Linked DNA regions of Tribolium castaneum. The protein of the gene in region 1 purifies or fractionates together with the protein of each later gene. This does not show direct contact. Links are inferred from orthologs where the notes say so. Each region holds a gene or a part of one and is shown in the gene's direction. Other genes may lie near its edges. The genes, in order: mrn and Mat1.

Region 1 (9,457 bases):
TTTTTCACCTGACAAAACCAATTTTCCACAGGCGCATTGCTAAATCTTCCAATACTATCACGATCACGTAAATTTGGATAAATATTTGACCAAAGAGGTAAAATTGGTAAATATTTTTTTAAAATGAGATCTAAAATCAGAGGATTGTAGAATATATTGATATTATCTGAATCTATTGCACTATTAATCATTTTCTTATCTTGTTCACATATTTTGAAAAAATGTCTATAAAACTTGCTTTTTTGATAAAGTGTATGGGGAATTTCGGTGTCCTCAGTTTCGGTTTCAGTTTCCTCATCTATGTCTTCTAGATCTTTACTATTATTTAATGTATCAAACATTTTGCTTATTACATTGCTTAATTTCCCATCGAGATCTAAAAATTCTTTTGAAGTAATTAAAACCATCTTTTTGAACCACTTCTCCACTTCAGGTAAAGATGTTTTCATAAAAACAGCTGCTATAGAATGTTTGAAAAATTTTTTTTGAGTTTTATTGCTACCGCAAATCTTGTTAATGTCATTTGTTATTAATTTCATAAAATGAGCGCAACATAATTTTAAAGTGATTTTTGGTCGAACAGTCGTTTCTGATGTTATATAATCGTATACAATATTTAAGTATACACTAATATCATCCATTTTATTCCACTGTGTGGTGATGGCGTTAATAAAAGCGAAACTAAAATCGGTAACCACATAAGAAAAAATGGGCCATTTTAGCTGTTTACTTTTAACAATAAATGATTCAAAAGCCTGTAACCATGAACCAATAGAATAACCATCATGTTCGGAAGTTATCATTTCGAAAACAGGACAAACAAGTTCTTTATCTTTGATGTGTACCACTCCAGCGTAATAATAAACACGTTTTTTCGTCTCAGGGGGAGAATGGACGACACTTCCGGTTGCATCTAAATGTAAAACTATAAACCCATTATTTGTTTGAGACAGTGCATGTTTAATAACTTCTAACTGTTCAATACTAAATAAATACACTGTTAGGGGCTCAAAAACGCGATAAATATACTGGCGGTTTTCTCTCGACATTTTTATAAGATCGAAAAATTCGTCTGTATCTCTATCTAATTTAGAAAGAGTCTGTGACTTGATTTTTTTGTACACATGTTTGGATTTTATATTATCATAATTTCCTGCGCGAATTTGATCCGAGGGAACAAAATTTGTATCCCGAACTCGTGTCATGAATGGAGTCGATGTCTGCAATTTATTTCCTAATAGCTGTCTTTCAAAATTTCTCACAAAAGTTGTCCTTTTTTGGTTATCGTGCCGATAATTTAGTGTATTACTAAAAACGGTTCCAATAATATCATGTTTTTCTGGCGACAATTTAATGATAAACACTTTACAATTTTCATGTGCACAATATGCATAAATTGTAAATTTTTTTCCTTTCTTGTCTGATTGGTGTTTTTTAAAATTAAGAGGACAAATATTATTAACTGTTGCAAATTTCTTCCTCACAGTAATTTGATAGTTAATTAAAGAATTATTAAATTTAATGTCATTAAATTGTTCATAACTTAGTGAAAAAGTGCCTTCTTTAATATTACAATTTTTAAAAGACATTGGTTTTAAACGTTTTATTGATATATCATTTTGTGAATTTTCTGGCAAAAGAGTAAATTTTGATTTATTAGGTTGGTTATATAAATTTTTTATTGAATTTGGAACGTCATTCACTGAAAAATCGGTAATATGGAAATCATTGTAATTATCGAAAGAAGAAAACTGATTGGTGGATTCTGGTGAGTTAATTGAAAAATCATTTTTTTCAGTAGTGTAATGATTATCAAAAAAAACGGGACTATTAGAAATGATTTTGGATTCGACGATTTTTTTATGGAAAAACTGTTTTATGTTTCCTTCGTTCCGCGACAAAATTTTCTTAATACGATTTTTACAATCGTTTAACCTTCGTTTGCTAGGTTTAGAAAGGCGGAACATGTAAATAGAAGATTCATGAATAATCCGATCACTTAAAGGTAGATTTGCGATGTATGTAAGTGATGTATTAGGAGCCAAACTTTTGATAAAATCGGCTAATTCCTTGAAATCAAAATTCTTGGGCATTTTTTAAAGTAGACAACAAAAATAATAATAAAAAACTAAAAACTAAAAATTCTAAAACTAAAAAAACCCAAAAATTCAAAAACTAAAAAATCTAAAAATTCTAAAACTAACGACTATAAATGCTGAAAACAAAACCAATAAACTAAAAACAAAAGAAAAGATTCCGAAAAGCAAAAAGGTTCTTACAAAATTAATTCGCGCAAAAGCTCAGCAAAATACACCTGCTATCACCAAAGCCATGCAATAACTGCAAATTCAGATGAATCGAGAATCGGTATAACTCGTTATAGCAGACAGAGATAAGGTAGCAGACGATTACTCTAAATTCTAAGAAAATACCGCGTAGCCGGGAAGCCGGGATGATTCTAAGTAGACCAATAAAATGTTTTCCAAATAATCGGTATACCCTTTTTACCTTTTTATCTCGTAAAAATCGGCTCATTAACACGACTTCAATAAACTAATTTTCGTTTTAAGGTACCTACGAGAAAAGCAGTTCTTCAAAAATTTATAATTTATCAAAATGCACGAATTGTGATTTTATTATTATTACCCAGATACTTATCACAAGGTCGCTGCCAAGAAAGAGATAAGCATTATAATTATTATAAAAAATAATAATTACAAATACAGAATTTCGGACGAATTGTAATTTGATTGACATAAAAGTGCAAAACTGGCTTCAACTGGCTTTTTTATGTCTTACAAAATTAACTTTCCATTTTTGTCGACGCATTTAACCCATTCCACATGAAAGCCCATTAAATACTCTACCTTTCCTGAAAATTTCATCCCTCTAAAAGTTTGGGAAGACATCCAACCCTTAGTTTGAAATATGTCAACATTTTATTAATAATATTAAATATTTTTTTAGTACTATTTCTTTTTGTCGACGCATTTAACCCATTCCACATGAAAGCCCATTAAATACTCTACCTTTCCTTAAAATTTCATCCCTCTAAAAGTTTGGGAAGACATCCAACCCTTAGTTTGAAATATGTCAACATTTTATTAATAATATTAAATATTTTTTTCTAGTACTATTTCTTTTTGTCGACGCATTTAACCCATTCCACATGAAAGCCCATTAAATACTCTACCTTTCCTGAAAATTTCATCCCTCTAAAAGTTTGGGAAGACATCCAACCCTTAGTTTGAAATATGTCAACATTTTATTAATAATATTAAATATTTTTTTCTAGTACTATTTCTTTTTGTCGACGCATTTAACCCATTCCACATGAAAGCCCATTAAATACTCTACCTTTCCTGAAAATTTCAACCCTCTAAAAGTTTAAGAAGACATCTAACCCTTAGTTTGAAATATGTCAACATTTTATTAATAATATTAAATATTTTTTTTAGTACTATTTCTTTTTGTCGACGCATTTAACCCATTCCACATGAAAGCCCATTAAATACTCTACCTTTCCTGAAAATTTCAACCCTCTAAAAGTTTGGGAAGACATCCAACCCTTAGTTTGAAATATGTCAACATTTTATTAATAATATTAAATATTTTTTTCTAGTACTATTTCTTTTTGTCGACGCATTTAACCCATTCCACATGAAAGCCCATTAAATACCTACCTTTCTTGAAAATTTCAATCCTCTAAAAGTTTGGGAAGACATCTAACCCTCTGTTTGAATTAGTATGTCGTTCTATTAACTTTTTTTTTCAAATAATGTTTTTGAAGAAGAAATTAACGAATAATTATCTTATTTAGGTGGAATCTGCCCCCTAAATAATTGGGTAGCATGCCCTCCTCGTTTTTGTTTTGCCTTTATTAGGCGGTTTCACCTTTTTGTGTCAACTAGTAAACTATCTACATCCCCCATTGCTTTCAAAGATACAACAAGTTTGAAATTGCATTTACTTTATTTTTTTTAATAACAATACACTTGAATTTTAAAAGAAAATGAGTAAATAATTTATTTTCTTATAATTTGTGAGAAACGTAGCAACGTCGCAAAGTGCTGAAAACGCACATCCGTGATTTGACTGGTCCGCTGGAAATTTCATGGTGCTAGCTCTTTCCAAAGTGCTATCGTCACCGTAATATTTTTGACCAACCCTGCCACCCAAATTCCCCAACGTTTGAATAATTAAAAAAACATAGCCAAAATATTTTATGCCCAAAAACTTGGCATTTCGAAGCAGAGCGAAAACCAAGTTTTTTCTACACTTATTAAGACGAAGCGAGTGGTTAATTAAATAACAACTCCTTCGGAGGAAAAGTTGGGTTAGCTTTAAATCTGACAATTGCGTTGACAGTAGTTACCCTAACCCTAATTTTAAGTTTGCAAGGGGGCTGTTTAAATGGCAGACGCCGAGCCCGCGCAACCCAGCTCGCTTTTTTTGAAACCAACAAACTTAGAATGTAAAAACTTGTACGACTACTTAAAAACGCGCTCTTCGGCAACGTTGGAAAAACTCTACAACCATCCAACGATTTGTTTGGCCGTTTACCGGTAAAAACCCACTTTAAAATTCCAAATTTCGATTGACGATTTTAGAGAATTGCCAGAACTGGCACGCCAGTACGTGATTCGAATTTTGTTCGTTGAACAGCCGGTGCCCCAGGCAGTTGTGGCGTCATGGGGGGCTCAGGCCTTTTCCAAGTGAGTGTTTAAATGCGCTTGTACACACGAAAAGGGGGGTTATTTGTAGAGAGCACGTTTATGTGAGTAAGGTTTTGAGCGAATTGTCGGTATGGCAGGAGGCTGCGATTCCAGGGGGGCTCCTAGGTTGGATCCTTTCAGTTACGTTTAAAAAGAATTTGAAAATTGCCTTATTAGGGGGGTGAGAGTGTAATTAGTGTGATTATTGCAATGACTGCGTGATTTATCCCAAGGGGCAAACCTTGGAGCATGTCTTCGGCTTTAGAAGTTGACAGTAAGGCAAGAGATGTGTCTTTTTTGGACGCTTATTCGCTCGAACGGTGGGAATGTGTGTTACATTACATGGTGGGGTCGCAACAACAAGAGGGAATTTCTGCGGATGCTGTCAGAATTTTACTACACGCTGGGCTTATGAAAAGGTTGAATTTCTCCAAAATTGACTCGTTATCTTATTTATATTTATGTAGAGACGAGGAAGATGGCAGTCCTGTTATAACACGTCAAGGCTTCCAGTTTTTACTCTTAGATAGGCAAGCACAAGTTTGGCATTTTTTACTCCAATATCTCGACACAGTTGAGCAAAGAGGATTAAGTCTGGTTGAATGTTTAACGTTTTTATTCCAACTCTCATTTAGTACACTTGGAAAAGTATGTCATAACTCATAACACTTGGCGTTTTTTTTTAATAGCAACATTTTTTTGTAGGATTATAGCACTGAAGGCATGAGTCCCGGCCTTTTAATTTTTCTCCAACACTTGAGAGAATTCGGATTAGTGTATCAAAGAAAAGTAGGTCTTGTTTTCGTTACCATGGTTACCAAATTTTTTTTTCTGGACGTCACATTCCACAGCACCCATGATTAATGTAATTAATTTTGTAGCGCAAAGCAGGCCGTTTTTACCCGACCAGATTGGCCTTAAATATTACGTGTAGCCAAGGCCCCGAAACTCGAATTTTGGAGGAAGACACTCCAAAAGGTTACATAATTGTAGAGACAAACTACAGGGTTTATGCTTACACGGATTCTAATCTTCAAGTTGCTTTAATTGGTCTTTTCACAGAACTGATGTATAGGTGGGTCACAAAATAAATAAAAAAATGTTATGACTATCGGACTTTTCCCAGGTTTCCGAACCTTGTAGTGGGCGTAATAACACGTGATTCCATAAGACAGGCTTTGAAAGGGGGAATCACAGCCGATCAAATTATCGGGTACCTCAAACAACATGCACATCCTCAAATGTTGGAAGGTGAGGCCAAACATCCTCTACCTCCGACAGTTGTGGATCAAATCAAACTGTGGGAAATTGAGCGGAACAGATTAACGTATTCAGAGGGCGTTTTATACAGCCAATTCCTATCACAGGTATTACAAGAAAAATTGTTACGCGGTTTTAATTTGTGTTTTAGGCTGATTTTAATATACTGAAAGAGTATGCACAGTCTAATGGCCATCTAATTTGGTGTAACAAAGAAAAACGGACTCTAATCATCAATAAATCGGCACATGATGATGTTAAAAAGTTCTGGAAGCGATATTCGAAAGGAAATTAATTTAGATTTAATAAAAACTTTACCACTGATCGTGTTTCATTTAAAATTCCCTCGCGGATGAAACAGTATCGCCAATCTAAACCAATTCTGTTTTCACGCGAAACGGGCGTTTTTCGCTACAAATTCGTATCAAAATGTTGGGAGTTTCGGCCCAAGTGCTTAAACTAAAAAAAACATGTGGAAGCGGGTCAAAAATTTGAGTTTTCGCCCAATTTTGGTTAAAATCTGGCCAATAAATTGTTGGCAATCCTGCCGACAAGTGTCAAACGTCATGTTGACATTGACAGTTCCTGTAAAATAACAATACGAAATAATTCGTAATTTGTGCAAAATGCCTGCCGCTGTGGACAACAGCAAGCCGGATCGGTCCGAGCAGATGTGGAAGGTGCTCAAAGCGCACATTCTGCGTGAGCGCGCTCGCAAAAAGCAAGAACGGGAGGCCGAAGTGGAAGAGGAACGTCTCCGTAAAGAACGCGAAGCTCGCGAGCAACAAGACGTCATGACTTTGGGTGAAACCCGCGAACAGATCTCACAGCTTGAGAGCAAGCTCCAGAAACTGAAAGAGGAGAAACACCAGTTGTTTTTACAGTTGAAAAAAGTCCTCAACGAGGATGATAATAGGAGGCGACAGAAGGAGAACAAGTGGGTCATTTTTAGTATTGCATTGTTTAAAGACCACTTTTTAGTGACGTGCTGGCGATTCAAGCCCTCCCGACGGGTCTGGTGCACCACCAGCCGTTGTACATCTCGCCCAGTGTGCCCCGCAATGCTGTGCCCCAGCAACAAACGTTTAAAACTGCGGTCAAACGCCCGCGGAGCCCTAGCCCGCAGCCGGCCCCCGTGTCGTCCTACCACCAAGGCTATGGCTACAAGCCCTCAGTGGCGGTCTCTTCCTACCAGAACTCGCCCCAAAGTAATTATTCACTGTTTCGTGGTAATGTTCTAGCTAGGTTTTAACCGATTTTGTTTGCAGAAGATGATGGTAGACGTAATGAGTTAGTGAGGGCAGTTTTATGGAACAGTGAGTGTTTCTACACCACTTTAGCTTCATTCATAATGAAGAGGTTCTTTTCACTCAGGCACCACTTAATTTTTTCTGGGTGAAGGGAAGCTTCCTTCATTAGTCGAGAAAGTTGTGGCTTCATTTATCACCACCCATTCATGCTTTTTCCATTTAATTATCACTTTTCAGTGTTGTAATTTCGTCGATAATTTCAGAGACGCAATATCCGAGTCAGCAAGCAACGTTTTATTCGGTCTCTCCGCAGGATATTTCGATGTATTATCCTTTGGGGTCCATCTCGTCGCGGGAGCCCCCACCCTCTAGGAGCGCCTACGAGCCCCCACGGCCCCAAACGTACCACTTGGAGCAGAAATTACCCGAACATTACACTCTAAGAGTACCGAGTTCGCACGGACACGTCATTCATGGGGGCTCCATACCCTTGAGCCCCGCGCAGCCCAAGACTGGGAGCATCACAGCGGGGTACCCCGTCAGGAGCCAACAACAATACCAACAATCAGCCCCCGCGTCACTTTATACGGCTCAAAGTCGGCCGTTGTATCAATCGCCAGGGACTCCAATGAATTATCCTCCAAGAGAATAAGAAATAAAAATTAATAACTAACTAATTCATTTATTTTCAATTTGTTTCCTATCATCGCCAACTGTGACAATTTCTTTAGTTCCGCTCCGAAGCGTAAAAACTACCGGAACTTCGGCCAACACCGGATTATCCTTTTCCAAATGCCGAATCCACGAAACTAGTGAGTCTTTACTGGAGGTCCCAGTAGCACATAGTGCCAGAATAGTACCATCTTCTTGCTCATGGACACTTGGTACCACTGTCAGATTTTTCACGGGTGGCTTGATGTTGAAAAAGGGGATTTTAATGTCACTGACATCATCTAGATCCTCTTTGATTGGAGCTACGAATTTGGCGTTTTTGCGCAAGGTGAAGTAAGTCACTTGTTGGTGCTTCAGCCAGACGCGAAAGGGCCCCTCGACGTACAAAGGCTCCGTCACGTCGTGTCTCTTCAACAGGTCCTTCTGGATGGGGGCTTGCGCGCTAATAATCCACGTATCGTCCACACAATCCTCGATGTCTTTACTCTGATACGTCGTAACTTGTGTCTGGATGTCCACACTGCTGATCCGCTCAATTGCGCACTTTGCCAGCTCGTACACGCCGTCAGGGAGCGGGTTCGGGATGGGCCAAGGCGACGCGTTTTTAAATTTGGGCATCCAGTACATCATCCGCCAATATTTGCGCAAGGGGAATCCCCGATTTCCGAAAATATTTTTCAAAAGCTCCTCCATGTCGTAGTCGGGCATCACAGCGTTGTCTTCCATTTGTTCGAGTAAGTCGATAATGCACTGCTGCTGCTTGGGGTAGTGCATGAACTCGACTTGAAACATGTTCCTCGGAATGAATTTGCCTTTCGGCAGGACGTCTATTAGGGCTTTGTACACTTCAAGGTCCTTGTGGACCCCAAAACTTTCCATGTTTTTTAGCGCAGAGTAGATAAATTCAACGTGGCCCCGCCGGTGGACACTGTCTCGGTTGACGAAAATGTGGATCATGTCCAAGTATGTGTTCTTGTTCTTTGTTTCGATTTCTTCAAACGAGCGGTAGGTCACCAGTTGCTTGGGCTCGGACGAATCGCTAAATGTTCGCGCAAGGGGGCCCACTTTTGGGACAATGCGCAAGTTGCCCCGCATCAGGGGCACAAGCCTGGTCACGAACATTTTAACTCGTTTATTTAATCGTTAAAATTGGCATACTTGCCACCGGTTTGATAAAATTCGAGACTTCGGGTTTATAGGTTATGTAATTTTGAGGTTACGTTGTCACCACATTTTAAAATACAATTAAAAATGAAATACGTAAAATTCTTTCGGTTAAATTGTGCCCTTTTGACCGTCCTTTAAAACGTAAATAAAAAATACGAGTTTTTATGAAATTGTATTTATACAACCAACAATACGTATGAAAACCGTTTGAAAAATAGAATGGGTTTAACGGACTCTAGCCGTTACAAAACATTCTATTATCGGTGTTATCACGGGAAAAGAAACACGAGTTATCCAAAATGAGACTATTTATTAATTGTTATAAATACTGTTGCACATATTCGCAAATAAGTGGTCATAAAAATTCAAAGCATCACAAGTATAAGCACATAA
Region 2 (9,586 bases), about 6.0 Mb from region 1:
TTAAATAAATTGCTTTATTGTACAGCGGAGCGGCAATTGCTGGACCTATGGCTTCACAAATTCCAAATAAAGACTGAGCTTTTCCTAAATCCTCTTGTGAAACCACTTTCGTAGCCAATGATCTTATAGCAATGTTAGAAATTCCGGTAATTATGCTTACAGCAGTGGCTAAAAGACAAGTCACAATAATTACGTACAATTTAAAAATTAAATCTAAAGAGTTACCAACATATAACATGACATCAGTTTTGGCCAAACCGAAAACAATATTTGTTACAATTTTATCCACAAATGTGATGAGTAAAATCATCAAATCCCCCAGTGAGAGAAATTTGGTAAATAGGGGAACCCCAATTAATGTCCCTTTAATAAAATTAACTCTAATTCGTGTATCTCATTTGGTACTTTGGTACTCACCCACTAAATGAATAACGGTATTAATAGTAATAAAGTAACTGTATTCAAGAGGACCCCAGTTAAAAAATCCTTGAACGTACAAATAAAAAACTCCTCCTTCACCTACAACCAGGTTTAAATCCGAGGAAAACCAAACACTGTTACCAACCTGTAACCACTATACTGTAAATGAACAAAATGAACAAAACGGCGACCACGAACGCTCGATTATTCCCTTTGCTCTTTTTGAATAGAAGATTGAAAGTTTCCACCGCATGTTTGGGGTCAAAAGCATCGACAAAAAACGATTTCTTTGAAATAACATCGGGCTGATGCGGTTCTTTAATCCAAAAAATCCCGTACAAAATCGCGAATAAATAACAAACAACGGCAATCGACAAAACTCCATAATAGCCGATTTTCTCAAACAAAATCCCACTAACAGCCTGTCCCACAGGAGTGCAAACGTTCAAAACGATTTGCACAACCCCGACCCTTAAAGTCCGCATCTCCACAGTGCTGACATCAGCAATGTAGGCAAAAACAGCCATGACAATCATCGTCTGGCCCCCGAAGAAAGACGGGATGACCGTCTGAGCGATCCCTTGTGACGCCAGCGGCCACTCTTTCATGAAAACAACACACAGGATGCACCCCGCGACGGCGAAAAACTCCCCCAGGACGGGAATCAAGAGAAAGGGCTTGCGCAGCTTGTGCCTGTCGCTGTACGACCCCAAAAACAGGACCAAAATTAGGGGCATGACGCTCTGGAGGGGTATCTGCCACGAGTGCATGTCCCCGATCAAAATCTGGATTTTCTCGTTCTCCTCCGAGTAATTTGTGGCCTCTCCGCTGAGGATGGCGTCGCAGATGGAGTCATTGAGCTGCAGGTTGGACCGGCAGCCCTTCTCGAACTCGAGGTTGTACAGCGCGGGCCCGCAGATGATGGAAGCGAGGAGGTACGCCGCGATTAGGGGCTCCACGGTGATTATGTTCTTGATGTAGTGGAGGCGCTCTTTGGTGGTCATCGTCCGGAAGGTCTTCGGCTGGAGGTCCGCGACGGACGCGGTGACCAGTTCCGCCGTCGATGCCATTTTTGTCAAAGACACTTCACTTAAGGACAGTTTTTGGTTTCATAGTAAATCGCGTGCAGCATAGCTGAATAGATGGATTCTCACTGAGAACAGGTTTCTTGGGGCGAGTCGGTGGCCTTACAGTGATTTAAAGATGTTGGAGGAGAAACGGCAAAAAAGAAATAAAAGTTACATGATCAAGCTGCATTCCGGTTGGGGATTTAAAGTGGCTAATTATCTTGATCATTTGAACTTTACTGGCGTTTTACGTTTGATAGTGCGAGATAGCATGACGGATCTTGTTTTCATGAAGATGCGCTTAATGTTAAGGTTGCGGAATAAATAAATATTAATAAGCAATGTCACGTCATTGTATTGAAATTTACAAAAACACGGAGATAACAATATCTATAATTAAATAATCTACCAAATTTGGTTATTGAACTCATGTGTGTGAGTATAGTTACAAATTTTCAAAGCCCGTTTACGGTAGCATTCTTTGCCATGTGATTATCTGCATCATTTTGTGGGATAAAAAATAACAAAGTGAACAATCAGACAGATCAAAGGTTAATAAGAATAGTATAATTATGTACCTACTTATTTGTTCAATCGTCTAGAAACGTAAATCAAAAAACTTACATATTGTCCCATTTCAGTTCATAGTGGAGTTTTGCAACAACTCATTTGCATTTTTTGTAATGAAATGGAGCACAAATTGAGAGTTTTTGGTGGGTTTTCTTGGCTCAAAAAATTTGTCGCTGGGATTTAGTTTAATATAGAAACTCTCAATTTGTGTTTTTTTATTTAAGTGACACAATTTCTTGTCTTTAGTAAATTAAAAATTTTGGTACACATGAACGTTAAAAGCAGAATACTTTACGAAAGATGATTTCATTTGATTTATTCCCAGGGAATATTAGATATAAATAGCTTTTGTTTTTGTTTTCTGACCTTCAATATCATATTTTTTTTCAAGCAGAACTTCTTAATAATTATTGTACTTGATATAAGCATTTTAATTCATCACAAAATATTGCAACAAGTCTGTTTACTTGAGTAAACTCCATATAATCTGTGCTTAAGCCTTAGGAGGGAAGAATAAATTAAAAAAAGATTTTTTTAATAAAATCATATAATTTTATTATATAATTATAAAAACTTACAGTTTCAAAAAAACTGTTATAGTGTTTTTATTTTTGTGTGCACAGTCAGTGTAAATAAAGCTTTTATAGTAATAATTTAAAACTGGGTTTCAAATTACAATTTTTCGCGCCTCATTTCCCGCAGCTTAAACGGTTGATCTACTGCCACGGAGCATTTGAACTATTATAAAAACTGCTGAAGGTTCAATTTATCAAGAAAAACATTGCTTAGGCTTCGTATTTGCTATTGTATTTGTTTTGATACTTATTTGCCTCAAATTCTGCTTATAAGCAATTTCAATTCGGAAATAAAATTAACTACACGCCCTCTGGTGATGACTTTTGAACTATGTCGAAAACAGTAAAGAAATTTTCGTAATGCCACATTTAACTGACATTTAATGAATTTGCGTGTATAGTGTTAATTACTTACAATAGAAAGAATTACTTTAAAAGTACGTGGTGGTAAATGCTAGCGTTGACTTTGGTTCTGTAGTTTTTCGTGGTATAAAGTGTTTATTGTTGGAACTTGAAAGTGGATAAAAAGTGAAAAATATTTAAATTTTGATTACAAAGTGTTATCAAGCAGTTGTTTAATTAAAGATTATAAGTAATGGATCACAGCGAACACAAAGTTTGGCTCAAGAAACCAATAAATTAGTGAAGTGTTATGAATTTTAGGTTAGAATTTTCCACTGAAAAAATCATGAAATGCTGCGGTAAATCTACAAAACTACAATAAAGATTAACAACTGCTGATACATTTAAACGTAAATTATGCCAAAAGGTAGGCTTTTCAATGTCTTTGTAATAATTTTCCAATAAAGAAAGTGAACCAAACAGTCATTCGTTATTCGTGTTTTCCTCGTCATCTCACATTTGTCAACATAAGTTTCTTGCATCAAAGATGCAATAATCATTCCGCATAGGCAATGTAATAATTGTGAAGCCCCAAAATTCGTACAACGCTCAAAATATCCGAATAAACATTTTCCCGCCATTTATGGTTACTGTTTTCGACCTAGCTCAGTGGCGCCCCCAACGGTAATTTTACTTCCGAATATTAAATAACGTGGTAACAGCAATGTGTGTGACAGCCGGCAAGTAAGGTTATGTGCTCCTGTTGATGTGCGAAAAAGTTGCCCCCTTTTCCTTGCACGATGGAGGACTTTACGTGCCCGCGATGCAAGACCTCAAAGTTCCAAAACCCATCACTCAAAATGATGGTAAACGTGTGCGGCCACGGGCTGTGCGAAAGCTGCGTGGACTTGCTGTTCCTCAAAGGCTCCGGGAGCTGTCCCGAGTGCCGCATTCCACTCCGGCGCAACAACTTCCGCGTCCAGTTATTCGAGGATGCCTCAGTTGAAAAAGAGGTGGATATTCGCAAACGCGTCTTGCGCGATTTCAACAAAAAAGAGGAGGATTTTAATTCGCTGGCTGAGTTCAACGATTATTTGGAGGAAGTCGAGACGATCATTTACAACCTGACGAATAACATCGACGTGGTTAACACGAACAAAAAGATTGAGCAATACAAACGCGACAATCGCGAACAAATAATGAAAAATAAAGGCAAACTGGGGAGAGAAGAGTACGAGCTGGAGGAACTCTTAGAGTTGGAGAAACAGCAGCAAGAGATGCGTAAGCAGGAGATAATTATTGAGGAAACTGAAAGTAAGAAGAAGAAGATTCGGGAGAAGGAAGCGCTAATTGATGAGTTGATGTTTTCGAGTGAAAATGCTAAAAACATTGTCGAAACGTTTGCCCAACAAGCCAAGGAGGCCAAAGAGGAGGAGGCTAAGGCGGCGCCTGCCAAAAAGACGCACTTTTCAACAGGGATTCAAATTGGGCGGCAGACACAAAGCTCATTTTTGCCTGTTCCCATCGAAGAGGGCCCCTTATTTGTTTATAAACCTTTGGTTTTGCAAACCGATGGCCCCAAATTGCCAACAGATGAAGAAATCGCCAGTATGGGGTACACGAACCATGTACGGGCAGAAAACGAGCAAGAGAGAGCTGGCGGTTTCAGGTCCAATATTGCGTGTGTTAGGGCTCTGCAAGATGCCTTCTCGGGGCTGTATCATGTAAGGAAAGCGCCGGTGCATTAATTTATTGACGTGTTGGAGAATAAAGATATTTTTTGTACATTAAAACATTTATTTTGTTAAAATAGAACACACAAATCTAAAATTTATAACTAGAAAGTGTGCCCGCGATAAATAGCACCGTTGATTACATCTAATTGTACTTGCGATAAACCTGTTAAACTAAGCAATCAATAAGGGGGCTATTTTGGTAAGTTTGAAATAAACCAAACGTTTGTTTAGTGTAAAAATATGAGTCAAGTCTATTACCGCCTAACTAAATATCATTAGTAACTCGCTTATTAGATGTAATTGACACTCTGTTAAATCAATTCTGCCTATTAAAACATCAAATGGCAGTGTTCATGGGAATTACATAATGTAAATATCATCTCACGTGATGTACTGAAAATTATTTCGGTTGAAATAATTTTATCGAGATCTCTAAATGAACAATCAGGCAATCTTATTTGTCTCAAAGAATCCATAAAACTATTCTAGCTACTAGTAGCCTAGAAAAATATAATTTATATAAAAATAAAATTGGTGTTTTTCACTCTCTATTTGGTAGACAATAACTTATATACAAAAAAAGCTTGAGTCATATTCATATAAGTCTGCCTCTCTTTATAGCTACATATTATATACAATATTTATAGAGCTTGACGGCTAAAATCAGACAAACAAGGGGTCAACGAAAATTCAATACGCACTAAGGGTGTGGTCACTGGAGTTTTGATTAGTGTAAAAAGGATTTTGATTGGGAAACTTCACTGGGAAAACGCCAAATGTCCCCCTGTTTATCTGTAGAAGAACACAAGACCGTGCAGATATGTCCTAACAGCGTAATTACGTTTAAATATCATAAAACCTTAGTGATGTGTACATAAAAATAAGCGTCTAGCGTGCGCGTTCACAGCATGCAGCATTTTTTCTTGTTCCTTTTCATGTAGCCGGTCTTTAGAGGCGGTCTTTCCGATAACTGGAATTTTCGCACAACGCGGACCAGTTCGTAGAAGGCATTATCCACATTCATCCTCATTTTGGCACTGCATTCAATGTACGGGATTTTTAATTGTCTGGCCAGCTGCTGCGCCTCCTCTTGCCAAACGACTCGCTGGTGCTCCAGATCCACCTAAACGGAACTGTTTACAAAGGACGGAAAATAGATTAGGGTCAAGGAATTACCTTGTTTCCCACCATCAGCATGGGGAACTCGTCGCGGTCCTTCACTCTAAGGATCTGTTTGTGGAATTTGTACACTTCCTCGAAGCTGGACCTTTCTGTTACTGAAAAGACGAGCAAGAAGCCTTCACCCGATCTCATGTATTGTTCCCGCATGGCGCTGAATTCCTCCTGACCGGCGGTGTCCAAAACTGCAATTTTGGCGGGTTAGCCTTGGGCTATTTTGGGGCTTGGGAGTAAACATTGGGGCGCTACTTACTGTCTAGTTTTGCGGGGATATCGTCGATGACACATTGTTTGGTGTAAGAGTCCTCAATGGTGGGGTCGTAGTCGGTAACGAAGTAGCTCTGGAATTTCGTTTTGAAACTTGTCACAAAAGTGTAGGATAAATTACAAGGTTAAACACACTTCACTCCATATAAAGGAAAATGTAATTAGGGACAATAACACCTGACGATTTTCATACGCTAGATTAATGAAACCAGCCCTTTTCAACAACGGAAAACATGCAAAATTGACGGTGTTTGCATAATTACCTGGATAAATTGCAAAGTTATTGCGGACTTTCCGACACCACCTCCACCCACAATAACCAATTTGTACGTCTGATAACTGTTGGGCCTGTCCGTTACCTTAGACATTTTAATTTCCTTTTTCAAATTAAAACTAATTTACGACGACTTTACTCAACTACTGATTTAAAAATAGGGAAAAAATAAATATAGAACAACTAAACGTGAAGTTAAACCTACCAATAAAAAATTAGTCACAGATTTAGTAACATTCACGATTCTGCCGCAACGTTGGCAACTAGACGGCGCCAAGTACAAATCATCCTTTTTCTTGTTTACCACTCTATGTGAGCATTTAGCAAGAAAATTTTATTGATGCGGGTGTGTGATGCTCCCACGGTGTTAATTTTCAACCCTTCCGTCGGTGACTTCGTTGTTTTTTATGCAAATTAGCAAATGCCATTACCATGTTTCATGAATAATGCGTGTTTCCGGTGATGTGGGAAAGCATTTTCCGAGAAGTAAATATGGGGCATTAAAATTACATAATGTGGAAGCTGGAGATGCGTTGACCTTCGTTTCCCGCCAGTTCCAGCGAACACCCCGCGATGACGCATTCCAAGATGTGGCCATCAGGTACTTGGTTCATCCCCCTTTTCAGGGACGGACTCGCCAGAAAATAACAGTCACAAACCAAATTAAAAAAAAAAACAGTTCATGTTATATCTCAAACTTTGTTGTGTTGAACCCATTAATTAAAGTGGTTGCAGTTAATTTAAAGTTGTTCTGATTATTTTCCATTTCATAAATTATTTCAACTTATTAATCTTATTATAACTATAATACGAATACGACTACAATAAAAATATTTGTACAAAGTCCAGAACCACAGATTACTTACACAGATAATGTTTTAATAACTATTGGCACAATTAATCTACACTCTCTTTTCCTGCTTTTATAGCACTATTTGAAACTTATTATAAAAAGTGTACACAAAAAGTACCGAATTTCTTAAATAAACAAAAATAATTATTAAAGTTTACAACAAAAATGACTATTTGATACATTTTTTTTTCAAAAACTTCACCGATTTGAATTTTGTGTGAATTTGTTCACTAGCTGCAGAAATCAGTTTTTAGTTTCCAGAATTCTTTTTGAATTGCGTTTTCTTCAAATGCAAAATTTTGGTGTTTATTATCATTTATAGTGTAGCTGGGTCATTGTGGAAAAATAATAATGTTAAACAATTTCTCGAAAAATTAGCTTTATTTTAAAAAAATCTTAAATTTTTGTAAGTGAACGTTTCATTAAAAAAATACAAAGTACAGATGTTTTTACTTCAAAATAAAGCTAGGTTTTCGAGAAATTATTTGCCATTATTATTTTCTACAATCACCTACACCATAAACAATAATAAACACTGAAATTTTTGGTTTGCATTTGAAGAAAACGCAATTCAATGTACTTGAAGTGCACCTTCAAACTTCAAATCAACGTATCTTTGTGGGGAAGCCACGAATCTTTATTTTTTTTATAATATATTTATTTGGAATACTAAAGAAGTTCTCTACAATGCTTTGGAATTTGCCAATTTTAAGACACCTTATACGTATCTTTGACTGAAGATGTTGTTATCGGTATCATGTTTCCCCAAATGATCAAAAAAACAGCTCGACTCATGGAGGTTTACATCTAAAGGGAATCGAATTTCTATCCAACTTATTTAAAAAGGAATTCGACTTCAAGATTTTTGACATAAAATTACATTGGTTTAAAACAGGACCCAGCCAATCATTTCTTCAACATATCCAAATTTCGAGATACAAAGGTTCGACTGTATTTGTTAAAATGTATTTTTTAAAATAAGGTTTTTGCTAGTTGATATGTTCATATTATTATTATTAACAAAATTGTTTGTTATCTGATTACTACAAGTTTTTAAATTCTTTGCTGTGCGTTTTTTTATGTTACAATTCACAAAAAGAAGACATCTTCAAGTTGGCACAATTGCAGCTTCTGCCAATTGACAGTAAACTAACAGTAAGGTTATGCGAAGTTGTTAAGTTGTGGAAATTCCTTTTGCCTTTTTGTGTGATCCTTCAGTTCCTTAATCCTCTATCCCATGCCTGGCGCTTGGTATGGTGAATATCCTCCTTGGTCCGCCCCTGTTTTTGTGCCCATTGCGCAGGTCCTCCCGTTGTCAAAGGCGCGCTGAGAACCAGAAACCGTCCTTCGTTTGCAGTCCAAAAGCGAGGTCTCTGAGTGACTGTTGTCGAATTAAAGTAAACACGGCGAGTGCATTGCGTGAGTGCTGCAGCCCTACGGGGCTCCCGTGTGGATATGGCTCACTACTACCAGTCTAGCCAAGACAGGTAAGCTGAATCCTTCCCAACCAACTTATTTCTCCGAAGAAGATCGTCGGTTTGTCTCCATAAACCGGTCGACGGTCGTCTGGAATGCGGAGCTCGCGGGATGAACCGACCCCTATTTACAAAATGGCGCCATAAAAAAGTCCGCCACAACCCCCAAACCCAGACCGGCGTAAAACATTAAGACCTGATTATGTAATTAGGGCAGTTTTAATTGTCATTCCTGGCAAGACGCAGTTCTTTTGTTCCCGAAATGTGGGTCCTCGTACCAGTCGTGCCACCCTTATCTAAAAAAGTGAAGAAATCGAAGATTCCAAAGAACGAAGAGCACGTTGCAAAAGACGGTTATTCATGACATCATTCGGCGAAATTGAAATGTTGTTTACTGATTTGAATTTGCCAATGAGAAGCGAGCAATTTGTTGAATAAGCGTGAATGAAATTAACGTGCGTTCAATTATGTAATCTTCTAATCTTCCAACTAACAGAATGCGTAGGTGTATATTTACTGAAGAGGGTGTCGTGTACGCGTTTCCTTACGAATCTCTACAACACGCGACCACAGGAAATGATAAAAAACTTATCACGAAAAGCTGCGTTTCCTCATACTCGTATTTACTCTCCAGGCCCTTCTACAACACACCCTTATCTTTTTGTGGTTCCGTGATCTTTTCCGAAAAATGGACAACCCACCTCATTCTCGGTCTATTTTTATGACTCCTAAACAAAAAGTATTTATGTGAGGAGTTTTTACTTTTCTTTGTCCAAAGATTGGTTCGTGGTAAGGCTTGGAACTTTGCCGACAACCAGCGATTGTCAA

Evidence for each region.
Region 2: the proteins of mrn (region 1) and Mat1 purify together in Homo sapiens (co-immunoprecipitation; 3 studies listed by BioGRID and IntAct, with this or other methods). This does not show direct contact. The link is inferred for Tribolium castaneum from reciprocal best matches to the Homo sapiens genes GTF2H4 and MNAT1.

Annotation. Positions count from the first base shown.
Region 1 is NC_087396.1:20,769,232-20,778,688, reverse strand, and holds mrn (general transcription factor IIH subunit 4), read left to right. Parts: upstream 1-4,213; 5' UTR 4,214-4,336; intron 4,337-4,362; exon of another isoform or gene 4,363-4,393; 5' UTR 4,394-4,413; coding exon 4,414-4,565; intron 4,566-4,610; coding exon 4,611-4,715; intron 4,716-4,764; coding exon 4,765-4,896; intron 4,897-4,948; coding exon 4,949-5,134; intron 5,135-5,182; coding exon 5,183-5,363; intron 5,364-5,420; coding exon 5,421-5,504; intron 5,505-5,596; coding exon 5,597-5,790; intron 5,791-5,841; coding exon 5,842-6,082; intron 6,083-6,126; coding exon 6,127-6,270; 3' UTR 6,271-6,297; downstream 6,298-9,457. Other genes in the region: G protein pathway suppressor 2, read left to right, coding at 6,602-6,912, 6,957-7,183, 7,244-7,291, 7,489-7,877; ECSIT (evolutionarily conserved signaling intermediate in Toll pathway, mitochondrial), read right to left, coding at 7,904-9,019. UniProt on the Homo sapiens protein: Component of the general transcription and DNA repair factor IIH (TFIIH) core complex, which is involved in general and transcription-coupled nucleotide excision repair (NER) of damaged DNA and, when complexed to CAK, in RNA transcription by RNA polymerase II.
Region 2 is NC_087396.1:14,730,127-14,739,712, forward strand, and holds Mat1 (CDK-activating kinase assembly factor MAT1), read left to right. Parts: upstream 1-3,656; 5' UTR 3,657-3,774; coding exon 3,775-4,722; 3' UTR 4,723-5,611; coding exon of another isoform or gene 5,612-5,833; 3' UTR 5,834-5,886; coding exon of another isoform or gene 5,887-6,074; 3' UTR 6,075-6,142; coding exon of another isoform or gene 6,143-6,230; 3' UTR 6,231-6,419; coding exon of another isoform or gene 6,420-6,524; 3' UTR 6,525-6,577; downstream 6,578-9,586. Other genes in the region: uncharacterized protein LOC664490, read right to left, coding at 1-168, 226-363, 418-519, 566-1,490; Ras64B (ras-like protein 2), read right to left, coding at 5,612-5,833, 5,887-6,074, 6,143-6,230, 6,420-6,524; Myb (myb-related protein B), read left to right, coding at 8,739-8,770.